2 separate regions of the Mus musculus genome follow, and region 2 is reported to be linked to region 1. The links are microRNA targets in miRTarBase. Many come from high-throughput screens and were not tested one by one. Region 1 holds a microRNA gene; the other region holds the end of a gene's coding sequence. Distances are from middle to middle.
The links. Region 1 holds the annotated microRNA mmu-miR-3079-3p (CAGGCUCAUCAGAUGAAAGUC, at 9,630-9,650, shown strand). A microRNA usually pairs through its seed, bases 2 to 8, with sites in the 3' UTR of a target mRNA and lowers its output. Matches are read on the target gene's strand: a 7mer-m8 pairs with bases 2 to 8, a 7mer-A1 pairs with bases 2 to 7 and ends in A, and an 8mer does both.

Region 2: the mRNA of Utp23 is a reported target of mmu-miR-3079-3p. Seed matches in the 3' UTR shown: 7mer-m8 at 2,147-2,153.

Annotation. Positions count from the first base shown.
Region 1 is chr15:76,284,945-76,300,540 of GRCm38, reverse strand. It overlaps Mir3079 (microRNA 3079), which reads left to right and starts at 9,573; the gene lies at 9,573-9,662. It overlaps Spatc1 (spermatogenesis and centriole associated 1), which reads right to left. Exons shown (of 5, transcript NM_028852.1): 4 at 15,487-15,596; 5 at 7,969-8,377. The coding sequence ends at 8,048. Smpd5 (sphingomyelin phosphodiesterase 5) reads right to left here and starts at 6,169. Exons shown (of 7, transcript NM_001195537.2): 1 at 5,250-6,169; 2 at 5,079-5,151; 3 at 4,717-4,857; 4 at 4,557-4,646; 5 at 4,400-4,463; 6 at 4,180-4,315; 7 at 3,645-4,105. The coding sequence starts at 6,107. The coding sequence ends at 4,016. Oplah (5-oxoprolinase (ATP-hydrolysing)) reads left to right here. Exons shown (of 27, transcript NM_153122.3): 20 at 1,970-2,154; 21 at 2,259-2,405; 22 at 2,501-2,635; 23 at 2,773-2,922; 24 at 3,025-3,182; 25 at 3,264-3,424; 26 at 3,523-3,620; 27 at 3,760-3,938. The coding sequence ends at 3,906.
Region 2 is chr15:51,880,659-51,896,254 of GRCm38, forward strand. Utp23 (UTP23 small subunit processome component) reads left to right here. Exons shown (of 3, transcript NM_030132.5): 2 at 358-532; 3 at 1,493-3,964. The coding sequence ends at 1,879. It overlaps Gm34678 (a long non-coding RNA gene), which reads right to left. Exons shown (of 6, transcript XR_003951502.1): 2 at 14,351-14,600; 3 at 11,774-11,944; 4 at 10,973-11,036; 5 at 9,363-9,699; 6 at 3,615-3,627. Among named protein-coding and RNA genes, the nearest start is that of Gm48923, 8.6 kb to the right of the region's middle.

The DNA of each region.
Region 1 (15,596 bases):
CAGAGAGTAGAAGAGGTAGTTCCAAGGTTGGCAACTGCTGCAAACTACACTGGGTATTGAGGCCACAGAATCCCAGGGAGCTGTCTGGACAGTGGAGCAGCTGGAGTTAGGATGATCGGCTTGTATACCTACCTGCAGACTAACCTTAAGGCTGGCTAGAGTGGTCAGATGGGACAGCTGCAGTCACCCTCAAACATGGTGGATATCCACCCAGAAGGTAGAGGGTGGAAGGAACTGTCTGGGGACTAAAGCTTATATGATCTGGAGATTGTGGGATCAGGCTTGGATAGTTACCGGCTAGAGCTTTTGTGCTGAGTGAAAGGTGAAAGACTGGGAGAGACAGCCTTGCTCTGAGGTCACAGGGGTCTGAGAACTCGATAAGGCATCCTGGAGTTGAGGTGTGAAGGGGGCATGGTCGAGAGTGTGGGTAGCTCACAGGCACATAGGGTAACCTTGGTCACGGGGCGCTGTAGCGGATCACGGGGACATAAGTGTAAACACGTGACTGAGAGTCCAAGTGGCCAGGAGACCTCAGAGAAGGCCTGACAGAGGCTGGAAAGTGAGGGCTTTCCCCTGGGTGTGGAAACAGGACTTCCTTGGCCGTGTTTGATAGGGTTTATGTGCTTGTGTTGGCCTGACTGAGTGCATCGCATGTACGCAGGTGTCCCTAGAGATCAGAAGAGAGCATAAGATCCTTGGGGGGCTGGAGTTATAGGCAGTTATGAGCCCCCTCCTCTGTGTGGGTGCTGGAAACCAGCCCTGGATCCTCTCCAAGAGCATCAAGAGCTGTTAGGTTCCGAGCCCCGCATATCTCAGCCCTGTGCTGCCTTATAGTTTTGAAATCCTTAGAGGCCAGTGGAAGCGGGCAGGACATAGAGCAGACAGGATGTGGTGCGTGTGGGGCACGCTGCGGACAGACGTTTCCTGTGAGACTTAGAGGGGAGTGTAAAAGCATCTTCTGTTCCCCTGGTTGTAATTGTCATCTCCAAGGCTTACCTAAGCCTTAGTCTGCTAACCTGGGCCTAGTCCTCAAAGTGTCTAGTCTCTGTACACTCTTATCTAGGCCTAGGATGTTTTCAGCCTTTGAGACCTACTGCTAAATAAGCTCACCCTTTCAAGTTCTTTCTGAGCTCTGGCTGGCTGGTTCAACTCAGCTGTTCTGGCTCCAACTCCTCTCCAAGCTGACTGGTTCAATCTGACTTCTCTCTTGGCCTCATACTAACTTTAGCATGCTAATCTTCTGGCTCCTTCTCATTCTCTGATTTGTTCTGTCTTCACCTGTGTCTAGTTTGTTCTCTGTGCAGTCTGTCTCTCCATAACTGTCGGTAAAACTGCCTTCTTTTCCCTTTCCCTCTGTGCCACTTAGTTTCCTTTCCCTCCCTCTTTTCATGAGAGTTGGACATATCCTATTCTGTCAAATCTTTCTCTTGTTACTTTGTCTGCTGGTCAAATTAGCCGTCTCTTTCAAACATGACTGCTTCCTTCTATAAACTAACTTTACCTTCATTGTTTGGGATGACAGGCCTGTGCCTTCCTAAGTGCTGGGATTATAGGTGTGTGCTAGAGCTGAGCCACATAAATGGTGTTTTCAATAAATAACACAATCTTGGGGTTCATAGTGCTATCAAATACTCTGCAAGACGGGCACCTAGAGAAGGCAATGGATGAGCTTGCTAAGGGATGAACCCACCCTCTCCCAAGCCACCTCCAGCTCCAGGGAAGTCTTTGGCACAACTACTTGCCAAAGGTGCTCTAGATGCTGGGCTGCAGAAGACGGCTCAGCAGAAGGATGGAGCCTACAGTCTTCAGAGTCCAAGAGTTTGCGAAGTGTGTGTGTGTGTGTGGTGGGGCACGCCAGTGAAAGGTCTGAAGGGAGCTCCCAGTGCCCAGTGGTTATGAAGCAGACAGGCACAGGCACCTGTTCCTGAGGGCATGGGAGATGGCTCAGTTTGTGACTCTACCCATCCAGCGGTGACAGAGGCCTTACAGGCCCCAGGCAAGATCTCTGGCTGCAGTGGGACCAGGAACCTGCATGACAACCTGTCGGATCTCCGTGCCCAGGTGGCAGCTAACCAGAAAGGCATCCAGCTGGTGGGAGAGCTGATCGGACAGTATGGCTTAGATGTGGTGCAGGCCTATATGGGCCATATTCAGGTGGGCCTGGGAACAGGGACATACATGGGCAGTTTTGTGGCTGCCCCAAGGTAGGTGGGCTACCCTGCAGATGGCATGGCGGGGCTGAACCTTATTTCTGCTAGGCAAATGCTGAACTAGCAGTGCGAGACATGCTTCGTGCTTTTGGAACTTCCCGCCAGGCCAGGGGCCTGCCCCTGGAGGTGTCTGCCAAGGATCACATGGACGATGGCTCTCCCATCTGCCTGCATGTTCAGATCAACCTGAATCAGGTTCGCTTGTGAGGGAAGTGGGGAGGGCACTGGCACTGGCCTCTGGGGTGAGGCCCATTCTGTTGCTGATTGCCGTACCTTTTTTCTCTGGGTAGGGCAGCGCTGTATTTGACTTCAGTGGTTCTGGGTCTGAGGTGTTTGGCAATCTCAATGCCCCTCGAGCCATAACACTGTCTGCTCTCATCTATTGCTTGCGCTGTCTAGTGGGCCGTGACATCCCACTTAACCAGGTTCGTAGAGGTGTGTGGTGAGGGGGCTTGCCAGAAAACAAAGGCAGCCCAATATGAACGGAGCTTAGAGTGGTGGAATTGTTATCTGAACCTGGGTAATACCCAGCCCTAATTAACCACCTTGGTCATTTCACCAGGGTTGCCTGGCTCCTGTGCAAGTCATAATTCCCAAAGGCTCCATATTGGATCCATCCCCAGAGGCAGCAGTGGTCGGAGGCAACGTGCTCACATCTCAGCGAGTCGTGGATGTCATCCTGGGGGCTTTTGGGGCCTGTGCAGCCTCCCAGGTGTGGTGGAGAAAAGTGGACACAGGTCTGGGGGCTGCTGGGAAGCAGGGTGGTGGGGGTAGATGCGCCCACTAACCAAATGCTGTTATTTGCTTCTATCAGGGCTGCATGAACAATGTGACCCTGGGCAATGCCCGTATGGGCTACTATGAGACAGTAGCTGGTGGTGCGGGTGCAGGCCCTGGCTGGCATGGGCGCAGTGGTGTACACAGTCACATGACCAACACGCGCATTACGGACCCAGAGATTTTGGAGAGCCGGTGAGCTGGGCACTCAGTGCTGGGCAGTTGATCTGGGAGATGAGCCCGTGCTCAGATGCGCTGTGCCCTTCTCCTGCACAGGTATCCAGTTATCCTGCGCCGCTTTGAGCTGAGGCCAGGCTCTGGAGGCCGAGGCCGCTTCCGGGGAGGTGATGGCGTAGTCCGAGAGCTGGTCTTTCGGGAAGAGGCGCTACTGTCTGTCCTCACGGAGCGCCGCGCCTTCCAGCCTTATGGCCTCCACGGTGGGTGGCTTCCCCAGCCCTTGCCAGCCTCTTTTGATCCCATCTCCCTACCCCTACCTCTCTTGACCCCCAAGCTTCCTTGCTTTCTCCTTCTACAGGGGGAGAGCCTGGTACACGTGGCTTAAACCTCCTGATCAGAAAAGATGGGCGCACAGTGAATCTGGGCGGCAAGACATCCGTGACTGTGTATCCCGGGGTAAGAGAGGGAGGGAGCCTTGTGTGAATAGGGATACAAAAATTTAATTTGGCTCCCAAACGGAAATAGGGTGGTTGAGTGATTGTGTCTTAACTGGGACAGGGACGCAACCTGTGTTAAAACTTGCTCTTCTTCTCAGGACGCGTTCTGCCTCCACACGCCTGGGGGTGGGGGCTATGGAGACCCGGAGGACCCAGCACCACCACCAGGCTCGCCCCCGCTATATCCAGCCTTCCCAGAGCGAGGCAGTGTGTATGAGTACCGCCGCGCCCAGGAAGCAGTATGAGTGCCCCCACAATAAAGATCCTTTGAGTCGCATGGTTATTGGGTTATTGGGCTCCGCTCCCCCCATGGTGGTCTTTCTCGACATTCATCCCCTTGTCTGGGCACCAGCGTCAGGAGCATACCACTTGAAGCTTCAGGCCCATAGCCAAGTGGTCCGTGAGTCCAGCAAAGGCAGTACTGAATGTCACCTGCTCCGCCTCCTGCCGGGCAGGTGTCAAGTTGAGAGGTGTTTTCAGTTAAAGCAAGCCCAGCAGCCCTGAGGTGAGGCACTTACTGGGCTCAGGCGACTCCCGGGTACTCTGCGGTAGGTGATGTAGTCCAGACGCCGGCCCTTCCAGGACTGAGCTGGGTAACTCCCATGAAGGGGCCCTGACAGGTACAGGCGGCGCCCCTTTTCCTGTCTCAGGGCCCTAGGAGAGGGACAGCATTCCTGAGGCTAGGGACGTTTCTCTCAGCTGGCCTAGTAGTGCCTGGGGCTCAAGGAGTCCACTCACCTCCGAAGCATCTCTGGGGAGCAGGCAATGGAGTGGCGTAGCATGGAGGAATTCAAGATTGTCCCTGTGGAGTCCAGGGAAGAGCAGACTCAGCAGCAGGCCACCTTGCTGACAGACATCCCACAGACTTGTTCTCCCACCTACCCAGCAGCAGTACCTAAGGCCCAGGGCTGTTCCTGGCAAACGCCTAGCCGGCAGGGGTCCTGAAAGCAGCTGAAGAGTTTATGGCCCTGCTCCTTGGCATGATCTGTGGAGAAAAGCCGTTTCTCAGTGGGCAGAGCTGGGTCTCTTGGCTCCACCTCACCCCAGCTTCTTACCTTGGGAGCAGTTGTCAAAGTTTAGATCTCCCAGGAGGACGCTGAAGGCTACAGCCTCATCACTCTGCCGGTTCTCAGCCTCGAACTCTTCCACCCATTCCAGCAGCAGCGTTAGCTGTTTGCAGCGAATATGTCCATCCTCTGAGAGGAGAGATGAAGTTGGCTTAGCCCAGAGTAGGGATCTAAGACCTCACCCTGTGGGTCCTGATCTGTAAACCACCCAAGGCATTTCTTGGGATGTCTGGGGCAGAGAACATTGGGATGTGGGGACAGACGTGTTGGTAAGGTTAAGGGACCTACTGCCTTCGAAGGAGAGAAGAGGGGCTACCTACCCACATTTCAAACCCTCCTGCAGGGCTCACCAACGGGTGCATGCAAATGTGTACAATGAAGGTATCCCACGATGGGGTGCCCGTCCACGATGCCTAGCTGCGCCTGCAACACCACCCACAGTTCCAGGTCTTCTTGCTCTCCTGGTTAAATCTATTGCTTACGCTCTCCCCGCTAGGGCTCACTGCAGCCTGGGTTAGTACCTGGACTGATAGTAGACCTTTGGAGGCCATGGCGTCCTCGCGACGAGCGTTAGGAAAGCAACGGAAGGTGGCACGCAGCAACGGGTAGCGCGAGGCCAGTAGAAGCCCACTGCCCAGTACCTTGATGTACGGCCCAGCCATTAAGCCAAATGTGCCCACATCATATATCACCGGGCCCAGATTTGGTACCAAGACACGCACAAGACGACGAGCTGCGCGGAGGTCGAACACTTCCTGCAGACACACGAAGTCCAAGCCCATAGGTAATGTGGCCTTCAGCTCACCACCAGGCACCCTAGGCGGCGGCTGACTGCATTCGGAAACCCTATACTGTGACGATTGAAGGCTATCTAGCAGTGCGGCCCCTACAGCCTCGGCGCGCTGCAGGCTGTGCGACAGGTTGTTAAAATGAGCCAGCCCGTGGGGCAATAGGCACAGATTAGCAGTGAGAAAGACAAAGCAGCGCCGGCGCTCAGCAGGCGGATGCCAGGGCTGTGGCCACACCCAGCATGCCGGAGGGGGCTGATAGCAGAAGGGGCGGCGCCAGACCTGGAGGGGCAGCCAGAGCGCAAGGCCGACCAACGCTAAGGGTAGGCCGACCACCACCAGTGGTAGCAACACCCCACTTCCTGCCAGGACTTTGAACCACCCCAAGCTTTTGGATCGGACGCTTGGTGCCCAGCAGCCCAGCAACTGGTCCAGGGACCAGTAAGTCGGGAAAAGCAGCACGCGGGATAAACTGTAGAGGGCTTGCAGCACTGGGTTCGGGAAAGGTGAAGGCCTCAGGGCGTTGGGTGTCAGGGGCCAGTCCTCTTGGGGCACTGGGCTCCTTCGCCGCGAAATGTCAGGGAGACTCATTGGTTTCCAGCGGCGGCGGAGGTCAAGACCAGGTGGCACAACCTGTGCGCGCCGCTAGTAATGCCCGGACGTCCCGCGAGCCTGAGTGCTGGCCACTGGCCCCACCCACTCAGAACTTCTGTGGCGGTTGGAAACGAACAACAATTTAAAAAAAAAAAAAAACCCGTAAAAGAAATCCGAGCTTTACAGCCCTGCCCTATTTCCTCCTTGTACTTGCGGGGGTCCACTTAGTGCTTCGGAGAAAAACTTAGGGCCCTGCCTACTCTCCCCTCCCCCACCCCTCCAATACACTTTACAGCCTGACTACTCACAGCCAGGTAGGTTCACCACAGCCTCTCAATCCGGTGCCTGGCTTAGTGCAGAGACTCAGCACCGATGGCTTGCAGAGGCTGAGACTTCAAACCCGGGGAGGGACCGTTAGTTCTACACCTGAGGCAGCTTGCCCAGACAGGTAAAAGGAAATCCTCCATTCTATGAGCCCTGTAACAGACTTAAGTTCTTTTAATTCTGTGTTTTATTTTTGTTTGTTTTGTTTTGTTTCTCGGGGCAGGGTTTCTCTGTGACTCTGGCTGTCCTGGAACTTGCTCTGTAGACCAGGCTGGCCTCGAACTCACAGAGATCTGCCTGCCTCTGCCTCCGGATTGCTGGGATTAAAGACATGTACCAGCACCGCCCCTCTTGACTTTAGTTTCTTGACAATGATCCCTTGGGCTTTCACAGACTTTTCTTGGCTCCCCTTGGAAGTCTGACTCCTTAACTCCAGCTGTGAGCCAGCAAACACCCTGACATCGACCATCAGTGTCTCTTAAGTAACCCATCAGGTTTGTCTTGGCTGGCGATCTTCAGCCGGCTTGCCAGGATAGTCCTGGAGACTTTGGATGAAGGCAACTGTTGATGAGCTGGGCAGTCTGGGCAGAAGGCATTGAACTCTGCAGGGCAGGTGGGGGTGGGGGTGGGGGTGGGGCGAGGTATCCCAGCTGGAGAACCATGCCTCTTTCTAACCGGAAGTTGTATTGGTACTGATAGATTCCTGTTTGAATCCGCCCCCCCCCCCCCAAGGCTCTGCTGTTCCTTGACTGGCAAGAACTGGTTTTCTAAGTCCCTAGTTCTTTTATTCCTTTCTGCCTTGTCACTGCCCTAGCGCCTGCAACTTCAGGCAAGCCAGAAACTACTCCAGGCTTTTCCACACTGCCCTTCTCATGAACCAACCCCATTTTGGTCTCCACTCTTCTAGAAACACCACGATGTTTCCAATCTCAGCCTACCCATTGATTTCAATACCCCCCTCCCACAAGGGCCCCAATTTTTCCAACCCATGTTCCTTTTTTTTCATTTATTTATTCATTTTACATCCCCATAGATGCCCCCTGCTCCTGGTCCCCCCTCCCACAATCCCTCGCCCTATCCCCCCCAACCCATGTTTTTCATTCTCTGGTCAGCTCTGGTCCCCCATGCTTAGACAGAACCCATCCTTTTCTCAGACCTTGGGCATCTTCACAAGGGGCTGCCATCTCCCAGGCTCCCTTGCCCAGGTTTGGATGAGGTGGCATCTGGCTCTCTTACCTCTACTGTCCTGCCCCAAGGCCCTGAGGCTCCCTACCCCTTTGCTAAGAACAGGGAAGTATCCTTTCTTTCTGCATCATCCCTTCCCTGTTCCTGATCCTACTCCCTCTTTTTTTTCCTCCGCTCCCAGAACTTCTGTTTTCATTACCAAGTAAAAAGGGAATTTGGGACCTTCCATTTAATCCCATTAGAAAGACAGTGTCTGAGAGCTCTGTCTCTCCAGGGAGGCTGTAATGTGAATGTGGCCCCCCCACCCCACCCCACTGGAGCAGGAAGGTGTGGCTTGGGCCCAGTGACCAGAGTCTGTGGGAAACTTTAATGGCCATGCACAATGGCCTACAGGGTGAAGTGAGCCTGGGCCAGCCGGGCACCGGGTGTTACCAGATGAACATAGGTTTGCCGTCATCGTGGGACAGCTGATGGAGGCAGGAGAGCAGCAGGAGGGCGTCCGTGAGCTTGCTGGGGTGCACGGTTTCCAATAGCACACGCTGCAAGAAGTCCACCGTGTAGCAGCCACCTTCAGATGCCGCCAGCTCAGGCCGCTCGCGCAGGATGCCGTACTCATTGACCAGCTGTTCTGTCAGTGCCGGGTGCACCCGCCCGTTGTAGCCTAAGCTCTGCAGCTTGTTCATGATGCTCACGTAACGCTGTGTGAGCGTCTGGCACAGGTCCTCATCCAACTTGTGATTACTGGGGTTTAGGGAGGCCTGTTGGGGAGAGTGGCCATCAGGGACCCCCCACACACACACACCCCACCCTGGCTCACAGGCAGGCGGGAAGAGCAGGGGCAAGGGAGGCCGGGGGAAAGGAAATTGTGAAGTATTGCTATGAGGATGCCAAGAGAGGAGAAGCCATGGTCCCTGAAAGGTCCAGAGGGCTGGGCCTGAGGTCAAGGCACCCAAAAACCCAACTCAGGCAGGCCCAGAGGCTCCCCAAAGCTGCTAGAGACATGCATCCCACTGTTTTTTTGTTTTGTTTGTTTTTTCCTTCCACCAGCTATGTGGGACTATGTGGCTTCCAGTATGGGGGCACAGGGAGTTCTTCATACTCTCAGGTTGCCAGACCCCAGAGTTTGCATGCTTTCCCAAGAGCTAATAGAAAGCACTTAACCTGGAATAACAGACACCGTTCTAACAGGGCAGGAAGGTCTTCCTGAACATCACCTTTCCCGAGGCCCCCGTGGAGTCAAGGTACTGACATTTCTACCAAGCACGCCCATGCTGACAGGCTGATGGGACTTCCATGTGGGAAGACGTATTTCCACATAGAAGGTGGCAGGTCTCTGGGGGGCACCATGGGTATAGCACTGGCTCTTCAGGGACAGTTGTACTCAACTGGGGACACCCACCTGATCTCTCTGCTGTGTTGGGACTGGTGCCCCTGGTATATTCACTGGGAAAGTCCCTTGGTGTGTTGACATTTTTCTGGGCAGTACGGCAAACGCGATTTTGTGTCTTTCCTGGAGCTGGGGACCCTATTATATTAAATCCCTATCTGTGTACATCAGTTGCTGTCTGCAGCCAAGCACACTGGATGATTTGTCTAAGAAGGCAAATCTGTCAGGCAGGGAGGAGCACAATGAGAAGGCCAGTGCGCTCCTCGGATAGATGCAGGGAAGGTGGCCTGTGGCATTTGTTGCTTTGTATATTTTTGCAAAAAGAAGTAGCCAGTGTGATCTGTGGTGAGGAAAGAATTAAGGCCTGGTAGAATGCTGACCTTTTCACAAGGGCCTGGATCACCAAGCACCAGAAGAAGAAGGAGGAGGAGGAAGAAGAGGAGGAGGAAGAAGAAGAAAGAAGAGGAACAGGAGGAAGGGGGAAGAAGGGGAGGGGGAGGGGGAGACTACAGAGCTCCAGCCTAAGCCTTCTCTAGAAGACCCCACTGTGCTCCCAGACAACCTCTGCCAAGCTAAGGACTTTGATCTGATGAGCTAAGCTGGAGTTCCCATTCACCTGGCTCCAGGCTCATCAGATGAAAGTCCTTAGCTTAGGTGTGGCCTTTGTTGGAGTAGGTGTGGTGTGGCCTTGTTGGAGGAAGTGAGTCACTGTGGGGGTGGACTTTAAGACCCTCCTCCTAGCAGAAGCCAGTCTTCTGTTTGCCTTCGGAATAAATTGTAGGACTCTCAGCTCCCCTTCCTGCACCATGCCCGCCTAGAAGCTGCCGTGCTCCTGCCTTGATGAAAATGGACTGAACTTCTGAATCTGTTAAGCCAACCCCAATTAAATGTTGTCCTGATTAAGAGTTGCCTTGGGGGGGGGGGCGTCCCATAATCAGTCACCAAACACAGACACTATTGCATACGCCAGCAAGATTTTGCTACAGTACCCTGATATAGCTGTCTCTTGTGAGGCCATGACAGTGCCTGGCAAATACAGAAGTGGATGCTCCCTGTGGAGGCCCCCAATGGAGGAGCTAGAGAAAGTACCCAAGGGGCTGAAGGGGTCTGCAACCCTATAAGTGGAACAACAATATGAACTAACCAGTACCCCCGGAGCTCGTGTCTCTAGCTGCATATGTAGCAGAAGATGGCCTAGTCAGCCATCATTGGGAAGAGAAGCCCCTTGGTCTTGCAAACTTTATATGCCTCAGTACAGGGGAACGACAGGGCCAAGAAATGGGAGTGGGTGGGTAGGGGAGCAGGGCAGAGGGGAGGGTATAGGGGACTTTTGGGATAGCATTTGAAATGTAAATGAAGAAAATATCTAATAAAAAAAAAGTTGCCTTGGTCATGGTGTCTGTTCACAGCAGTAAAACTGTGTGTGTTCTGGGATTGAAGGCATGTAGCACCACATCTGGTTTATGTAGTATCGCTAGGCAAGCATTTCTATCAGCTGAGCTACATGGAAGCACTAAGTTTAATGCTTTGTTTCGTTTTTTTTGGGGGGGGGGAGTTCAAGACAGGGTTTCTCTGTGTAGCCCTGGCTGTCCCGGAATTCACTTTGTAGACCAGGCTGGCCTCGAACTCAGAAATCCACCTGCCTTGCCTCCCGAGTGCTGGGATTAAAGGTGTGTGCCACCCCTGCCCGGCTGAGTTGAATGGTTTTTGTATCAGTTCCATATATCAATTTTTATGAAGTATATTTAATTTCTTGGTTCAACATTAATAAAAACATGTATATATATTTTAAATTTTATGTATGTGTCAGTCCCTGAGTATGTACACACAAATGCAGGGTCCCACACAGGCAGGGGTTTGGAAACCTTTAGAGTTGGAGTTGTGAGTCACCAGATATGGAATCTGGGAATTGAACTTGGGTCCTCTGGAAGAGCAGTACACGTGCTTAACCATAGAGCCCTCTCTCCAGCCCAGTATTTTAAAGATTAAAAGAATATGTGGGCATGGTGGCTAATGCCTATACATATGGAACTAGAGACCGAGACAGGTACATTAACTCAGGTTCAAGGCTAGCCTGGGCTACATAGTATCCCTACATAGTAACTAGGGATACACACTCATTAAGGCTTTGTCTCAACGAATAAGTAAATCATTCATTCATTCTCTGAGCACAATGGTGCATGTTTGTCACCCCACCTCTCTGGAGGAAGAGGGAGGGGGACCACAGCAAGATTTGGGACTAGTCTGAGTTCCAAGCCAGCTACGCTGCTTACTCAACAGGATCTTGCCTCAACAATCAAAATATGTAAAAATGAAAGGACATAGAGGGTGGGCACCCTCAGGAGGCTGAGGCAGGAGGACCATAGGTCTGAGGCTTGAAACATTTTTATCAAAAGGGTAGATAAAATATAACTGCCTAGAGAAACATTATGATTGTTCCCAAGAAAAATTAAATTGATATACAGGTTCTTAGAATGCCTAAGAGGGCTTGGATACGTAAGGTAGCTTGGATACCAAAGCAGTATGTAGAAGTGAAGTCATTCTCAGGAGCCCATAAGCGGTGGTCAAGGCGCCCTTCGCCACACAACATGGCCCTAGTCACTCTCACATGGACACGGACACGGCGGGACTCAAGGCCCCTAGGATTAGGATGCTAAGAGAAAAGACACTCCAAATATCTTCCACAAAGTTCTTCACAACTGGGTAGGAAGAATGAGAACAGAGAGAGCTGTGGCCCACTTCTCCTTGGGTTTAAATGACAGCATAACTGGGCTGGAGAGATGGCTCAGCCATTAAAAGCATGTACTGTTCTCGCTGAGGACCAAAGTTTAACTCCCAGAGCACGTCGTGCAGTGGTTCACAACTACCTGTAACTCCATCAAATACCTCTGGCCTCTTCAGGCACTTAAACTGACACACACACATATACCACCACCACTAGCGCCCCATAGACAAAAATACAGATGAAACTTAGGAAAAAAAAAAAAAAGACACAGTGGTACCAGTGGTAATCTATGTAATTAGGAGGCAGAAGGGTCACTATAAGTGTTAGGACAACCTGGGCTACGTAGCAAGCCCTGGGCAAGCCAGGGTTACACAGTAAGAAAAACAAAAACAAGCATAACAAACAAAAACCCAAACAAGCCAAAAAATCAACAATGATGAAACCAACTCAAGCCAAAAGAAAGTGTAACTGTACAATCTAATTAAAAAGACAGCCAGATTTAGTGGAAAGTCAGGGTCCTTATCAAAAATATCTATTAAATTTCAACCCACTAAACCTATACAGCGTTGGAGAGTGAGTGGCTTGTAGGGACAATATTGGCTTTGACTAGTGTTAGCAGGTCTGGGTAGAATTTAGGGATTACAACCACTGACCCTGGGGGTGGGGGGAGATGGAAAAGAAGATACACTGAAAGGGGGAAATAAAATTTGGGTGAACTGGAATCAGGTGCAGGTGAGACTCAACCAAAGGCCCAGCCAGGTGGGTGGGGACCCTTGAAGCCAGGGGGTAAATTTATGATTTCCAAATGTGACCACAGGAGTTGGCCTGGAAGACTCCATAGAGGGATATGGCTAGGTATCAGCCTAGCTCCAGGAGGCCACTTTGTTTCCGGGAGGGTTTCAGTGGAGCTGTCCGGAAGAGGAAGGAGAGTCTCTGGGTCACTGCTGACAGAAGTAAAACGAGATGACTCAGGCTCTTGGGCGGAATGACAAGCATGCTGAGGCAAGAGGTCCAGCTTCTCACAACGCCAGGTTAGGTGGAACGCCTCTAATCCCAGCAGAGGAGGTAGAGGCAGGAGGGCCAGAAGTTTAAGGTCATCCTTGCTAGGTGACTATAATGCCAACTGCCCCTTGGTATCTTGTGGTCACTGTTGCTACACCACGGGACCCTCTTTGATTGAGTTGGTGGCTAATGATTCTCCACAGAAAACCCAGGAACATGGCTGTCTTGTTATATAGACTAAATGGGAAGGAACTCTGGCCAGCCAAATATGGCTCTGGCAGGCCTTGCCCTTCTCCATTCCCTCTGCCTTACTCAAAACCATCAAATTACATTCCTAAAGCTAGCTACCAAGGTATCTTGCCTTATTTTGGCCACTTCCTCCTCCTGAAGCTGACAACCAAGGTCTAGATATTAAAGTGTTGAAGTCCAGCAATCAAAAAACCCCTTTGGTTCACTCGATTCACATGCCCAACCAACACACCACTTCATCCTAGCCCATCATAACACACACCCTCTCCTCCTCCTCCTCCTCCTCCTCCTCCTCCTCCTCCTCCTCCTCCTCCTCCTCCTCCTCCTCCTCCTCTTCCTCCTCCTCCTCCTCTTACAGTCTCCTCCAAAATGGACAAGGAGAGCTGGACCCAGACAAAGGAGCCCTCATAGATGCAAGTCTAAGAGGGATGCTGGCAAGCACTGGGCATCTTCTTTGCTCTGGCAGCTCTGAGCTCTCAGAGGCTGTACCAACTGACCAAAGGGAACTCCTTTGAGATCTCCATAGACAGGCTGGGCCCCTCAAAAGAAAAGCACTCATTTTCTGCTACCATCATGTCCACACAGTCCTCTGTCTCCTTGTCATTTTTCTCTTGACCCTCAGTCCCAGGGGCTGCCCCTTTAGCCCTAGAGTCATCCTGATGCAGAGTGCACTCTGTGTCTTGGTGGTCTCTGGAGTTAGTCAGGTGTTTTTGAGCTGGAGAGAAGACACATCTTAGCTTATAACTTCTAGCTTGACTGCTGATAGGAGAGTCAAAGACTCAAGACCAAACAAAAACCCTTGAGGGGCTGCTGAGAAGGTTCAGCTGGTAAGAGCACTTGCCGCTTTTCCTGGGGACCAGAATCTGGTTCCCAGCACCCACACCAGGCAGCTCACAACCGAGGAGACCTGGCCTCTCTGGACAACCCTCCCATACACATAATAAAAGAAAAATAAATCTGTAAGAAGATTTTCTTAAAAACTCAAACTTTTGGGCTGGAGAGATGGCTCAGCGGTTAAGAGTACTCTTAACCTGCTCTTTCAAAGGTCCTGAGTTCAATTCCCAGCAACCACATGGTGACTCACAACCATCTGTAATGGGATCTGATGCCCTCTTCAGGTGTGTCTGAAGACAGCGACAGTATACTCACATACATAAAATAAATAAATCTTTAAGAAAGAAAGAAAGAAAGAAAGAGAGAGAGAGAGAGAGAGAGAGAGAGAGAGAGAGAGAGAGAGAGAGAGAAGAAAGAACTCAAACTTTAAACCCTTAGGAGAAAATGTTGACTAAGGAATACAAAATAGTTTCAGGAGTTTCTGCTAGGGGAAGATTTCTTTCTTTTTCTTTTCTTTCTTTCTTTCTTTCTTTCTTTCTTTCTTTCTTTCTTTCTTTTCTTTTCTTTTCTTTTTTTTTTTTTCTTTTCCTGAGACAGGAATTCTCTGTGCAGCTCCTCTCTGCCCTGGATTGCACATTGTAGACCACCCAGCTAGGGGAGAGTTTCTTAATTGAGACAATACAAATAACGTGAGGAAAGACTGACATTTCTGAACACATTCAAATTAATTATCTAAACTAAGCACAGTGGAGCCTGCCTTTAATCCCAGCACTTGGGAGGCAGAGGCAGGAGGATTTCTGAGTTTGAGGCTAGCCTGGTCTACAGAGTGAGTTCCAGGACAGCCAGGGCTATACAGAGGAACCCTGTCTCAAAAAACAAACAAACAAACAAACAAACAAACAAACAGACAAACAAAAAATTGTATCTAGTGAAAGGACACTTTAGCCAAGAAAAGGCAAGCTAAGAATCAGCCTGTGGAGCTGGTGAGATAACTCAGTGGTTAAGAGCACTGACTGCTCTTCCAGAGGTCATGAGCTCAATTCCCAGCAATCACATGGTGGCTTACGACCATCTATAGGGGGATATGATGCCCCCTTCAGGCAGGTGGATGTATATGCAGCAGAGCACTCATACATTAAACAAAATTTAAAAAACAGCCTGTGCAATCAGAAGTCATTACAACATAATTTGTACACAAAGATGGCCTAAGAGAATAAGCAGCTGGAAAGCCATTTTCCCGCTGAGAAAAGCTCAAATGTATACAGGGATAGGCCCTGCATGGTCTCATATGGCAGGGGTATCCAGCCAAGTGCAGACCCATATCCCCAGTCCTTACCCCCTTGCCAGTTCCCTGTGGTGTTCTCAGTGAGCACTGGGGATGCTGGAGGCAGCGGGCTATAGAATTCTTTAGGTTTGTTGATTCAGACCCCAGGGGTTGGTGCTGCTCAGCCAAAGACCAACTAGGAGGTGGAAGAGGAGTGCTCCCTCCTCCCTGGAGGAAATCCCATCCCTCTCTCTTCTAGAGTCTGTAGCCCACAGCTATGGGCTCCCTCCATCTCAGAGTCCCTCCCCATAAATGCCTGGTCCTTCAGTACCGACTGAGCTTACTGCCCCATCCGTGAAGGCCGTGAAGGCTCCTCTGGCAATGTGGGAGACGGATAGCCACACACCTGGATGATCTTCTCTGGGATGTTGGAGACAGTGAAGCCGTAGAGACGTACGCGCTCTGGGAAGATGCTGGACAGGATTCTTCGGTCTAGCTGGAAGGCGATTTCCCCCA
Region 2 (15,596 bases), 24 Mb from region 1:
GTGTACTCTGACATTGGTATTCTTTCTGCTTGGAGTATGTATTTTTAAAGTTTTCATTTAAGAAGAAAATGGCAACCGTGCTATAAATCCACATTTTTTTATTTTTTTAATTAGGTATTTATTTCATTTACGTTTCAAATGCTATCCCAAAAGTCCCCCAGACCCTCCCCCCCCCCCCCCGCCCCACTCCCCTACCCACCCACTCCCACTTCTTGGCCCTGGCGTTCCCCCGTCACATTTTTATGGAATAGTTTTTCCACCTTAAAAACTTGAGTATTGTGTTTATGCTTGCTTTGTATAAACAGAAGGAATGTATTGGTTGTGATTCTGGACTCTGAATGACTTTTTTCTCCCCAGATGTGTGTTAAAGGAGTTAGAAACACTGGGAAAGGAATTATATGGAGCAAAACTGATTGCACAGAAATGCCAGGTTCGAAACTGTCCTCATTTCAAGAGCCCAGTGAGTGGGTCTGAATGTCTCCTGTCCATGGTGGATGAGGGGAACCCTCATCATTATTTTGTGGCCACACAGGTAATGTTACTTTCAAAACTGTAAGGCAGTTTTAACTACCTCTATATATACTTCATGCAGCTCTGTTTGCAGTACAAAGAAAAGTAAGTGGGAGAGATAATGTAGTGTTTGAAGTTCTATTTATTTACTTACTGTGGTGTATTAGAGAGGATTCCAGTCACTTAGCTAATTCATGTTTCATTGTTTGGACTTTTAAAAATGTACATTTTAAAATGGGATCAATAAAGGTACTTACTTGAACATATGAGGAGGAGACTAAGTTTGGGGGACTTTTTTTCCTTCAGAAGTTTCCTTCTAGAGGCTGAGGAGCTGTTGCAGTAGTGTGCTGATTGCGTCACGGTTCTTCAAGCAGGGAGGAGTCGGGCAGTCTCTGCCTTCTGGACTCATAACCTAGCATGTTCCTGAATTCCTGCTTCTCAGCTCATGGTGCATGTGCTCTGAGATTAGCATCAGGAGGCTGCAGAGATGGCTCAGGGGTTAAGAGCTGGCTGCTCTTGGTTTAATTCCCAACACCTATACAGCTGCTCTCAACCATGTGTACCTACAGTCTCAAGGAACCCACCGCCATCTTACGGCCACCTAGGCACACATGAGGTATACAGATATGATTGTGGAGTCAGCTTATTACTCTGCTCCAACCTCTTCCCTTGTCGATGTTTCGAGAGAATATCTAGTGGAAAGGCAAGAGAAAGTTTCTAATGTATTTTCTGTTGCATTGGTTGATAATTCGTGGGCCCAGAGTGTTGACTGATCCAGCCCCGACTGCTGTTGAGTGGCTTCATTCTGCTTAGTCTTTATGTTTTCTGTCCTCTACCGTAAGATACATTTTGATTAATAAGACATGTCATCTGAAAAAGAAAACATATAGTTCTTTTTTTCCCCATCTAGCCTTTTTTAATAGAAACTTAATTTTAGGTTCTAATTTTGATTGAGAAACCAAACCCCTTTCCTTTTTAATAGGATCAGAACTTATCTGTGAAAGTCAAGAGGACTCCTGGAATTCCTCTCATGTTCATTATTCAGAACACTATAGTGTTGGACAAGCCTTCTCCCAGAACAGTGGCCTTTGTGAAGGCGGTCGAGGCGGGTCAGCTGGTCTCAGTGCACGAGAAACAGAGTATCAAGCAACTGAAGGAGGAGCAAGGCCTGGTGCGGAACCCGGACCTGAGGAGGAGGAGGAGGAAAAAGAAGAAGGTGGGCGGCCCCAATCCTCTCAGCTGCCTGAAGAAAAAGAAGAAAGCACAGGATACAAAGTCCCCTGCTTCCGAAAAGAAAAGGAAAAGGAAACGGATTCGGAACAGATCCACCCTGAAAGTGTCTTCTGAGCAGCAGGGTGCAGAAGGCTGATGTGTGCTGGGGATACTCTGGAAGACAGTGGAAACTAACTTCCTGTTCAAACTGTGAAAATGTGTATACCAGAGGACTAACTTATTTTTGTAAACTACTACTGCTACATACACTTTTGCCAAAAGTAAAGAATAGTTGGGTTTGTCAGTGTGCATCTTCAGTTGTTGCTTTGGGGATGTATTTTTATTATAAAATTATCTCCAGTTTCTCCCCTTCTCACCCTCCAAGTGCTGTGTATGTGTGTGGTATATGAGTGGTATGTGTTTGTGAGCCTCTCTCTCTCTCTCTCTCTCTCTCTCTCTCTCTGTGTGTGTAGGTGCAGTAGTGTTTGTGAGCTTGTTGGGCGGTGGGGGGGGGGGGTGAGCGTGTGTATGAAGCAGCTAGAGGTCAGCATGAAGTGTCTTTCTCTATCACTCTCTACCATTATTTTTTGAGAGAGTTTCTCACTGAATCAATAACTTGCCAGTTAAGTGGTCCTGGATGGCCGTTAAGCCCCAGAGATCCTCCTGTCTCCTTTCTGGTGCTGGGATTGACAGCATTCACTGTTGAATGTGGCTTTCTGTATGAGTCTGAGGATCTGAACCCAACTCCTCACAGTAGTACGGCAGGTAAGGTCCTGACTGAGGCATCACCCCAGCACCACATAATTTTAAAAGTCAGTCCTAAGGCCAGTGAGATGACTCAGTGGGTGTCTTAGTCAGGGTTTCTATTCCTGCACAAACATCATGACCAAGAAGCAAGTTGGGGAGGAAAGGGTTTATTCTGCTTACACTTCCACATTGCTGTTCATCACCAAAGGAAATCAGGACTGGAACTCAAGCAGGTCAGGAAGCAGGAGCTGATGCAGAGGCCATGGAGGGATGTTCTTTACTGACTTGCCTCCCCTGGCTTGCTCAACTTGCTCTCTTATAGAACCCAAGACTACCAGCCCAGGGATGGCACAACCCACAAGGGGCCTTTCCCCCTTGATCACTAATTGAGAAAATGCCTTGCAGTTGGATCTCTTGGAGGCATTTCCTCAACTGAAGCTCCTTTCTCTGTGATAACTCCAGCCTGTGTCAAGTTGACACACAAAACCAGCCGGTACAGTGGGTAAAGACGCCTGCTGCCTACCTTGATAACTGAACCTCGTCCCTGAGACCTAGAGACCAGACCTGACTCCCAAAATTGTCTTCTTACCTCCACACCTCCACGCAAAACAAATTAATGTCATTTGTAAAAGTCAGTTCTAAGGGAGGAAAGGGGGATAGCTTACCCATTATTTTGTATATGGCAATAAAATCTGTAAGAGCTTAAGATAAAAGTTGTATCTTTGACAGTTGGAGAAACCTCCACATTCAACTAACTGTTGAATACAATGCTACCGTCTGCTCTCAATAGCCTGGAAAGGATGGCTATAGCACCTTACATTTTCCTAATAAACAAGTGTTGTAGTATTTATTGGTCATAAACTCGTTTTTAGCATTGTGCATGGCTGAGCAAGGTGACATGTAGTGTGGCTAAATTTATTACATTGCTCTTCCTGAAACTAATAGCGTTGGGCTTCTTCATTGCCCAGTAACATGGCATATAGTTACACTCATCCAATAGTTTGAAGTCATTTTTACCATGCAATACTTAGCTGGGTTCTCCTGATGTCCTCCAGTGTGGCTGTGCTTTCTGCTGAGCATGCTACTCAGATATTGTTAGGTACTGTCCTCTGGAGAACTGTCATGGTAGGCTTTTTTTCTTCTTCTTGTATTCCCTTGCTGTAATAAAGCACAAAGCAAGTAAGAAATCCATATTTGAGAGTATCTACTGCCTTTATTACAAACTACATGAGTCCTAGCTGAAGTTCACTTCAATTTTCTTAAATCTTGTTTATTTATTGTCCTAAGGAAAACATTCCATTTTTAAGCCCCACAGGTTCAATAATGTGTTGATTTTTGTTTCTGATAGCTGATCTGAATACTATCCCTCAATGGCAAGAATTCTAAAATAATGTTCTACTGGGTATTCTGATAAAGTGTCCAAATTATTTGATTCAATTAGAAAATTGAATGTCTAGGTTTATGTAAAATAAAATGGTTGTGATTTGACAAGTTTAATAATAGTTTTTCATGTGTAAGTAGAAAGAAATGTTTAAAATCTTTAAAATAGGCCATTTTATTATACAAAAATCCTTACAACTTTTAGTTTAGATGTAAATGAAGGGCCAGAAGGATGGCTGCACCCATCCAAAACTATGAAAATGCCCCAGCCCACTCCACAGAGAAGGGGAAGGGTGCTGAGGGGCCATTCCTGGTACCGTAAGCCCTGGGCAGTCAGGCCATGTGGAGAGCTTATTATGGTTAAACTGATATTGATGGTTCTCTAAGTTGACATTGCATCAAACAACCTTTTACTATCTACACTTATACCCACAAACAAAAGGTTCCCAGCCATAATATGAGAATCCTCTCTCAGCAATGAGTGGTGCTGAATACAGAGTCCTGCCTCCCCATGACGCAGCTGTGACAGTTCTGACCCACAGCCCTAAACAAGACAATTATCCCACCCCTCGAAGGCTCAAGAAGCCTTACAGAAGTGAACTAAGAACCAGAAGATGGGATGAGGGATTGCAAAACGCTGTTTTCTAGACTAGATGCAATCACTGAAATTATTAACTCCAATCTTGTTACCTGCCCTGGACCCATCTAACATAGGCCTCATTAATAGTCAAGGTGGGGGAAGGGGCTCAAGGGGCCCTACCATTTACTTCTGAACCATTTGCGACTGGTAGATTCTGAGAGGGGGGGGGGGGAAGCACTGTCTCTCGCTGTGTACCCACTGCTGAGCCCACCATGCTCTATTGCAGAGCTTCAAAAGCATGGTCACCTAGACAGCACTGGTCACAGTGAGAGATCAGGGGGAAAGGAGAGGCCGTGCAGGACAGAAGGCGAGAGTGGCCACTATCTATTTTGAATGTATAAAATTGTCTAAGAACAATTTCAATTGATTTAAGAAAAAGTACTGGCTAATTGCAATACATCTATCAGGTGGGTTTCAGAGTACCCAGCTGGTAACGTTGACTTAGAACTTTTAAAATACTGCCACCCATGTACTACTTCATTAGAGGAACATGAGAATTTTCCACTAGGAGGGTTGGAAATGACTACAGCAGCACCCACCAAAATTGTGAAGTGAAAGGTCTATGCCAAGTTACACATTTCCACTTCCTTATGTAAGGTCTTACCTGCTTTTCCTATACAACGGGTAAATCTGCCACTTAGAAAAGATGCCTGTGGCCAGGATGACTTACACCAGTATTTACTAGCTTAGCTGAAATCTAGGCGTTGCTACGCTTCTTAAATAATTCTTGAACAAGTACTTAGTGTAAACCATAAAATTTAGGTTTTAAATTTACTCTTTAAAAGACTTTGTGGTTTACTAGAATATAGCAACAAGACCAGGCCTAAGAAGATGCTTGGTGGTGGAGTGCTCATTATGAGAAAAGAATTCATCTCCTGCACCACAAACACACACATGAAGAAACACATGAAACAGAATGAAATTCTTGTTACTTAAAAAAATGCTGGGGGCTGGCGAGATGGCTCAGTGGTTAAGAGCGCCACCTGCTCTTCCGAAGGTCCCGAGTTCAAATCCCAGCAACCAAATGGTGGCTCACAACCATCCGTAACGAAATCTGATGCCCTCTTCTGGAGTATCTGAGGACAGCTACAGTGTACTTAAATATAATAAATAAATAAATCTTTTAAAAAATGCAACAAATATTTCTTAACACTAGACACTATGTTATTAAGCAGATTTTTAACTAGTATTGGACAAAAAGAAATGGTAAGAGTGCTTACTATAACTGTCATTGCTTAAACTCCAAATACCACTTAGTCTACATTTCAGTTTTATTGTTTGGACCCAATTACTAGTCTCCCTTCCACATTGGGAGTTATTGTGATTAGATGATAAACAAATCAAGTTTCCAGGCCAGAAAGCACAGTAGACTTGTGAACTCACTGGTATTTCCCTTGAGCTTCTGACACACTTAGAGACTGCATGTATGGTCATTTTGTCTCTGACATCTAGACAACAGGTTATTAGGGTAGGAAAAGTCAAGCAGAAGCTGTCGGGCTTTCTTCTAGTAGGAAATTAAATCCAAAGCTAGGCCCTCATGGGCAGAGTTGCGGAGATCACTGCCATCATTCCGTGCTTGAGCAAGGCAGACATGCTGACTTCATGAAAGGGACTGAGTTACCAATACCAAGACATTTTAAAGCCGGTCCGATGAAAGTCCCATCTGACACTGCTGTCTTGGCAAACTGAAAAGTACTCTCTCCATCTTTTAATTCCCTTCAAATTTCCTCTTATTTGTGAAGGAGAAAAGGCAAGCAGTAGAATGAGAGGGAACACGTATCTTGTAAAGGACATACGTGGAAAATAGAATAACAGCTAATACTAAAAAGACAACACTGTGCCTAAAATGGGCACAGAATACAAACAGACCCAGTACTAGGAAATCTGCAAATGGCCAATGAGCACAAGCAAGGAAGCTCCATATTATTAGCTGCCAGGGGAATGGAAAGTACACCATGATAATGCATCACATCACCTCACACAGTAGGACTGCCATAACCAAGCAGACAGAAAATAGCAAGCGAGTGCAAAGGAAAAACCAGACCGTCATATATTGTTAGCGTGGTTTTAAAACGGCAACTCTCTTGGAAAACAGTCTGGCAGTTTTTCAAATTGTTAAACATGCATTTACAACATTATCTGGCAGATTCACTCCTGGGTATATGTTTGAGAGAAATTAAACAGATGTCCAAATGCAACTTATATGCAAGAATCCACAGTGGCGCTATTAATAACAATAAAAGGGGGAACATCGTGAGCGTTCGCCCATCGGCAAACACAGCACAGTGAAATGGAGTGTTGCATGCAGGAAAGAAGAACATAAAGAAGTCATAAACTCTGAGATGGTTGAGCCTTGAAAACTTGCTACCTGGAAGAAACCAAGGGATCGAGTATTGTATGACTACATTTCTATAAAATGTGAAGAATAAGGGACTCTGTAGTCAGAAATGATTTGTAGATTTCTACGGCAAAGGAAATGGGGGCAGATAGGAGGGAAAGAGACAAAGAGGTTTTTTGGGGGGTTGGGTGGGAAATGAAAGGAGTAAAGTTAATTTTGCTACTGATACCTTACCATGAGAATACAGTAGCATCATTTGATCTTGTATACTTAGTTGACTCTGTCTAGATTAAATTAATTATATCTTAGTAGTTTGAAAATATGGTAAACACAGTATGCGTGAATCAGTTGAGTAATCACGAGGACTAAACAAAATATGCTCTGTGGTTTGGATGATAAAGAAGAAAAGAGAATATTGACTGGCTTCGTTCAAAGAGAAAAATGTTCTGACAAGCCATTTGTATACTAATATGTTATTTTTATTCTTCTGGTGAACTCACCTCAAGTGGGTCTCTGCCAGCCTAATGCTCCCTGTCCTCTGTCCGATGCAGTCAGAAGGCTGCCATCTGTTTCATTCAGTTGCCAGAATGTTCCAGATAACCCACAGGTAGTAATTGCCAAGAAGATAAATAGCTTCCAAATACTCCTCATCTTACACAACCATTTCACAACAATGATAATGTTGGTGCGATGAGGGAGTTCTGGTCTCTAGAACCGAACTAGCAAATATAAGCCATGGAATGGAAAGCAACAGGGACAGGGTGCAGCTTAGCCATGGAGCAATCATGTCCACACTAGCCTGTTAGTTTTCCACATTCAGAAAGAGTTGTGCATAAAGATGAATGTCCAAGAGCATCATTGAGATTTAGATACCCACATTCATGCCCTGTCCCATCTGAGCCTCCTTAGAATGGTGGTAAGCCAGAGAGCTGGGCAGACAGAGCAGCTCTGACCACAGCAGATGGGGTTTTACTGTGATTTTACCCCCCGTGTTGGTACTTTTAGACACTTCAAACAGCCACTAGGATGTCATTTGAAGTTCAATGACTTTTTTTAAAAAAATGATGCTTGTGTTAGTTTTTCTCTTCTGAGACAAAACCACTAATAAAAGAGGATATGTTGGTTTTGGCTCATTGTTTCAGAGGTTTCTGCCCATGTATATTTGGCCTTGTTGCTTAGGCCTGTGGGGACACCATACGTTATTGGGGGAGGATGTGGCTGGTCACCTCATGGTAATGAGAAAAAGAAAGGAAAGGAAGGGTAGGATCACAGTATCTTCTTCTAGGGTGTGCAGCCAAGGGCACACTCCTACTAGGCTGTACCTACAAGTACCAACATCTTACAATATCGCCACAGGCTAGGACAATACTTGTAAAATATTGTCCTTTAAATTATATCACCATTGATTTGTAGCAGTGGCGAATACCATTTGCGGCCCATATTTAGTGAGTTTGATGAATGTTGGATGAACAAAACTGACTTAGATGAAATCTACCATCATCTGTATTCCAGGGTCTCAAAGCATTATAACTAGCTCATGACTACCTAGATCACAGCGATTGTCTTTGATGTACTGTAAGAAAGTGGCGGTCTTCATTCGGCTTGCGCATTCACCTCACATATAGATCAACTCCTCCACCCTGCCCCCAAAGCATTGTGAAATAAATAACCACCACTTTTTAAAAAATACACTAAATGGACTCTGTGGGTCTAAAAATAGAGCACATGTGAGTGGTAAAGGAATAAGATGGATGTAAAGGGGGGACATTATCAAAACACATCCTAGGGATGCAGGAGATTCTCCAACAACACAGAAGGCAGTTATAAAATGTACATGTTGGCGTGAATAAAGCCATACTTAGTGAAGGGACTCTAGCCAACCTGAGCATGGCAGACATGCTCCCACATTCCGTCTGCCTTCCTAAAAGCCATTACATTACATTCCTAAAGCTAGCCATCAAGGTCCATTCCCTTATTTGTCCACTTCCTCCTTTCGAGGCTGACTACCAAGGTCCAGCTATCAAAGTATTGCAGTCCAGCAATCAAAAGCTCCCTTTGGCTCACCTAATTAGTATGCCCAATTAAAATTAAACACCTCATCCTGACATGGAGTTTCCCCTTTTACCATTATAAACTGCCATTTTCCTATGGGTCACATCTGTTGTCTCCTTTTTATGCCTAGGCAGCCCTTTGTCTCCCTTGGGGGTAGACTGCCCCCTCTCCTTTGTTTCTTTCCCCTACTCCCTCCTAACTGAAACATTACTGTGTATAACTCTGCAAGTTACCATTTCTCCCTGCTTTGCCTTATGGTCAGACCTTTGTCTGAGTGGAGGTTGTGTGTGTGTGTGTGTGTGTGTGTGTGTGTGTGTGTGTGTGTGTGTGTGTGTGTGCTCTGTATGTTGTGGAACAATACATTTCCTGGGAGATGCAATACACAAATCTATCCACCCTGGATAGGAAGCCCACAATAGATCAGAGTATGAATATACCAAAGCCCAACTTGATGAACCAATGAGCTTCATTGCAGTTACTTACAGGAATATGGGTGAGAGTTTACATATGGGAGTAGAAATAACTCAGACAGCTGCATCACCAAAGCTCACATCAGCATGGGTGACAGCTCACAGAAGCTGGAAACCTGGAGCACACTGCACAGCCTGTAGGCAGCTCAGAAGGGTGAAGAGTGTCCCTTCCAGGTGCTTCAGCTCTTCCCGGCAGCTCTGCTGGTTTGTTTCTTCCAGGCGATTTGCCTTGTGCAGGGGTCTTCTTTGAGTTTTGCTTGTCTGGGGGTCCTCTTTGCAGCTTGATTTATTAAAGCCTCCTTTTTTTGCATCTTGGCTTGCTTGAAATTCAGCCCTCTTTTCTGCTTACTCTGGAAGAATAGCGAATCTGATCAATTTCAGGGACTTCTTGAAGCTATATTGGGTTGCTTACTTTGTTCGGGTTTGAGGAGTTTCTCTGTAGGTTTGAATGTTTCGATCTCAGAGGAAACTAACACAACACCACAGCACTTAAATATGGGTTATTTTGTGGGAGCCATTACACCGTGCTCTGCCACAGCCACTCTAAAACTCTTCTGAGAGGTCATTTCTGCTTTTATCAGGACAGAAGCCTGTGTCCTGTTAGAGTAGGAAAAAAGGAAGGATGCAAAGGAGAAAAAGAGAGAACAAGAAAATAACTAAACCTTGACAAGAAAAAAAGAATGTCAGAATTCATATGGAGATAGCTAATATTAATTATGTCGATGGTTAACTGTATGTTTAAAGCTTTAAAATTGCAGTGCTTAAGAGAACCATAAAGCAAAATTGACTTTCAAATGTTAAGGGCTAGCTAGGCAAGGTGGTACATGCCTTTAATCTTCGAGCTGGGAAGGCAGAGCCAGGTGGGTCTCAGAGTTGGAGGCCAGCTTCCTCTACAAAGGGACTTCCAAGACAGCCAGGGCTACAAAGAGAAACCCTGTTTCAAAACAAACAAACAAACAAAAAATCCAGAGTCCCTGGTGAAGACTTGGCACCAGTATATGAATAAAAACATCTTCCTTGTTAAAATATATTGACTGGTATATCTCTGAACCACCCCAGGCCTATAATGTGGAGGTTTGAATAGGTTTGGCCCCCATAGACTTATGTCTTTGAAAGCTTGGCTCACAGTAATACTATTAGGAGGTGTGTCCTTGCTGGAGTAGGTGTGGGTGCATCCTTGCTGGTGTAGGGATGGGCTTTGAGTTCTCATATATATGCTCAAGTCCCAACTGCTTTTGAATCAAGATGTAGAACTATCAGTTCCTTCTCCAGCACTATGTCTACCTGTGTTCCACCATGCTTCCTGCTATGATAATGGACTAAACCTCTGAACCTGTAAGCCAGCCCCAATTAAATGTTTGCCTTTGTAAGAGCTGTCTTGGTCATGGAACTCTTCATAGCAATGGAAACCCTAATTAAGCCGGGCGTGGTGGCACATGCCTTTAATCCCAGCACTTGGGAGGCAGAGGCAGGCGGGTTTCTGAGTTCGAGGACAGCCTGGTCTACAGAGTGAGTTCCAGGACAGCCACAGCTATACAGAGAAACCATGTCTCGAAACAAACAAACAAACAAACAAACAAACAAACAAAGACACATAACAATAATAATTATTAAGACACATACCTTGACAATCAGCTGCAGAATACTGAGCAATAAAGCATCCAGCTCTGACTGTGTAGAGGAATCACTGGAAACAAAATAAATACCCAACCAAAAGTGTTAGGTGTCTTTATTAGGGAGAGGGCTCTAGGCACTTGCTTAACTACAATATTTCCTGTGGGCAGCCTGGCTGGAATCTTTGGTGTAACACCAAAGAACTTAAATTGGAGAATTAGATCAAGCTGGGTATCTGTCAGGCTTCCTTCAAGTTTCAGGTTTGGGTTGAGTGTCCAGATCTAGACTTTGAGACCTGTCTGAGACAAACCAACACCATTGGGCGTGAGGAGAGGCAAGCCTTCTGAGCAAAGCTTATAGACCATTTCCACAGTAATCTGCTAAGCAAACACACAGCTCCTCTCTACACATACCTATGCTACAGAGCTAGTCGGAGGGTGGAATAAAATAACTCAAAGATGTCATTTAGGTGTCTGTTATGTAACTATTTAGTCACCTACGTGAATTATTTTTATTAAAGCAATGCGTTGTGTCTATGGTCTATATACGACATTAACGAGCAAGTTAAGTGTAAATTTTGATTATTTTCCCTTTAGAGATAGGCATTTGTTACAGGACCCTTAAGAAGAGTTTTCCAATTAAATCAACCTTGTCGTCGAGTTTTCCATGTTGACAGTGCTTTCCCACAAAGCTTAAGCTTTGCATTATATGGCTTTGCATCCACATTACTTAGAATTTGTTTCAGTTCTGGATAGTAAAGAGGCACAGAGGCAATAGCTTAAACCAGTGTGCCAGTTACATTACTCCTACCTGATAGAGCATCCCGAAGCTCATTGACTTGAACCATAATCCTTTAGGATCGATGGCTGTGCTACTGTTCTCCCATGGATTGAATTGTGGCATCTAAGCAATGGCTTCTAACGGAAGGTCATGTGATGACCCCTGCTTGAACAGGACGTGGGGTGAAGTACCAGGGACTACCTGCATGAGTCAAAAGAACCCTATTAAAAATGTGATATGTATATTCCTGTATTCTCTTCAATAGCTTCGTTATAAAACTCTGGATAAGGCCAGGGTATTTACACACTATAGAGGCCCCTTATGACCAAACCAAGATGATACTAGCAGGCTTTGAAAAGGCCACACAAATGACAAAGCCAATAGGAAATTGTTACTAGACAAAACACATATAGGTCTGTTAGTCTGGCACGTTCTTATTTGACTTAAAAAAAGAAATTCCTGTTTTGGGAGGTCACACAGCTGTGCAGCACATTGTCTTCCCACCAACTTTAATAATAACATGTCTGACATGTGGATTATGGTTAGCAGCCAGGTATATTACTTTACAGCAACTTGAAGGCTACTATTCCTGAAATCACCAACTCGTTCTGGTCCCAACAGAAAACTGGTAAATAACGAAAATGAACTAAAAGGTTTGGCATCTCCATTTTCATTTTTGTCTATCTCCATTGGTGTCTTTTCTGGGAGGGAGATAGAACCTCACATATCCCAGGCTGCCCTTGAATTCACTGTGCAACCAAGGATAACTTTGAGGTCCTGATCATTCTGCCTCTAGCTCCCAAGTGCTAAGATTACAGCTATGCAACTGTAACTGGCTTTCGATTGGTATATTAATCTGTATCAGTTCTGCATGGAGACATGTTGACCAATGCTTTGTCAGAGACTACAGTTTGTGGTTCGCTGCCCCTGTTGCCTGTTAGAATGAGGTTTTTCTTCTACTGTGTCCTTGTATTTTCTTGTCAGCTTGCATCCACCATCCCAGATTTATCCTAAGGCACACAGGCAACCATGAGACCATTTCATCACCATGAGACATGATGACACTACCAATAGAAAAGTGTTACCAGCTCCTGCCTTATGTCACTACTCATTAGTTCAGCGACTCATGGCCAGAATACCTGAGCACAAGGAAGACCTTTTAGAAAACTCTATCCATGCCTATGACGAATAGATAATACTCAAACTTTGTCCCCCTCTCCCAATGAAATGCAGGCCTACTGCATTAAAGGAGCTGTCTGATCACTGTTTGGTTGGAGCTTGCTCCCTTCTGCTTCCAGCTGAACCCCTACCTTTCACCAAAGCTTCAGTAGTCTCATTCAAAACATGTGGGTTTGTTTTACTCCACCTGTGTCCTTGCATAACACCCTGCCATCAGTATCAGAGATCCAAAAGGGTAGGCTAGGCAGAGCTGCTCATCCAACGAAGGGATACATGGTAGGCAGAAATGTTGATACCATTAGGAGGCACAGGCTTAGAGCCAGCAGAAGCCACAGGTGGAAGACAGAAGCAAAGATGGGGAGTTCTTGCTCCACGTGAAAATGGTGGCAGGGGGAAGAATTAAGGGCAATTCTTTAGTCTGGACCAACAAACTAGAAGTCTATTTGAGTCATATAAAACCCTGCAGGTGAGTGGTTCAGGGCTGTTATGGGACTTGTAGTTTTCAAGAACTCGGGCTACTTCCAGTTCACTGATCCTCTATGTGTAGCCCCCCACCTCCACCCCCGTCAAGGTTCACTCATTAACCAAGGTGATCTTTTCAGTTCTATCTATGAGGTAAGAAAAAGGACAAAGTTAAGAAAAAATCTCAGAACAGATGGGGTCTGAGACTGGATCTTCTATCATTCCAATACCAAATCCAACTTGAACATGCCCGGACTTACAAAATGCCAAGGGGTGATTGGAAGTTTGTGGATATCAGGGTATACATTAAATCAGTGAGCTTGGGGGCAGGGAAGACCAGGATTCCCTTGAATTATGTTTCAATGATGCAATACACACGTAAAGATCACCTTGTATGCTCTTTGCCTTCTTAAAAAAAAAAAGCCATTATTGTGTCAGAGGAAGAGGAAGCGATTCAGGTACAGAACATGTTCTAACAGCCTAAATGATGGTGCTTGGTGAATCGTGGTCCTAAAGGTACCAAACGGGGGAGCCAAAGTTCTCCAACTGCTGCATACTTTTGACAAGGAAAATCTAGTTTTGTCTTCCGATCTACATTGATGACCTAAGCCAAGTAAATAAGCCTGGTTTATTTCTGTAACATCTTTATGCAGACAGTCTGTTATGCACTGTGGGTTCAGATGTGCAATAATTTGTACAATGGTTTATTCCCAAGTATGCCTTTAAGCAGAACAAATGTGTTTTTCTATATAGTTCCTTGCCTTAGTAAATATGTAATATGCATTTAAGTACACTTCTATTTTGTATATTTGTAAACTACAAAGCAAAAAAAAAAAATGAACATTTTGTGGAATTTGTATTTTGCATACTCAAGGTGAGAAATAAGTTTTAAATAAACCTATAATATTTTATCTGAAAAAAAAAAAAGAAAAAGGACAAAGTTGAAAGGGGGCAAAAGTCACATACCATCTGTCTCTTACAGAGGGATCCTAAAAGTCGCCACATCACATTTACTCAAGACGCAGACAGAGTTTCTTGCAAGGAGAAGTGATGGTTTGCTCTCCAGCCAGGCAGCCTTGCACTTGGGTAAATCAGGGCCACTGTTACTAAGAATAATGAACCATGATTCCTACATAGTCTTCCTCCGGCTGTGAAGTCAATGCATGCTTGTTGCTTTAAAATAAAACATTCTATATAACACTGGTTCTTCACTCCTCTGTGAGAAAAAAAAGGGATAATAATTATCAATAAGATAAAAAGGAAAGAACATTGGTGGTTCAAATTGGTGTGATACTGGGAGTCTTCCGAGGTACCACGGTTATTTTGTCTGATTGCCAGTATTCTTTCTGTCTGACTCATTGGCCTCCAAAAACATTTTTATCAGTACTTTTGTTTAGTGTGTGTGTGTGTGTGTGTGTGTGTGTGTGTGTGTGTGTGTGTGTGTGTGAGAGAGAGAGAGAGAGAGAGAGAGAGAGACCTTCACCAGCCTATAGAGAGATGATCCAAGAGGAGGTAAGAACACAGTTCTGTTCAACATAGCTCAGTAGCTGGTGTTGGTTCAAACATTGAGAGTCTGACCCCGAGTGGTTTATTTTAGGAATATTTCAGCGCAGCAAAACCTTGTGAAAACTGTTCTGGTGATAATCAACTCAGTCCTACATGCACAACAAAGCATGTTTGAGGAGCAAAGTAAGCTAACCAAAAATTGAATGTGACTACATCAAAACGGTTTGAAAAGTGCACATGGCACTTTCTGAAGATAACGTCTACAGATTGACTGAAGGAGACAAGGCTATGATAAGAGTCTGTAGGAGGGTTGAGAATGCAGAGTACCAAGGTCACCAGGATAGAAAGCCTTCTGAGCAGATAACAGGTCTTGCATTCCTTCCCTTGAAGGAACTAAAAGGACCAAGGTAACTCTACCCTTTCCTCTTCCATCTGCTCCCTGTCTTACTTAGCTCTTAAACAACTTGTCTGGACCCCCATTCTTCTTAGGTAAACTGTGAGAGTTAGCCAGGGCCAATCAGTTCCTTGCTGACACAGACACAGCCAATCCTTGTAAGAGAGAAGTTGCCCCCTCCTGACCCCTTTCTCCTGCTTGTATTTTTTTTCCGGTGTTTGTTTGTTTGTTTGTTTGTTTGTTTGTTTGTTTTAAAGGGCCTGTGCCTGCTGGGGGTTGTGGTTCCAGCTCCCAAGTCTGGCCACGTCCCGA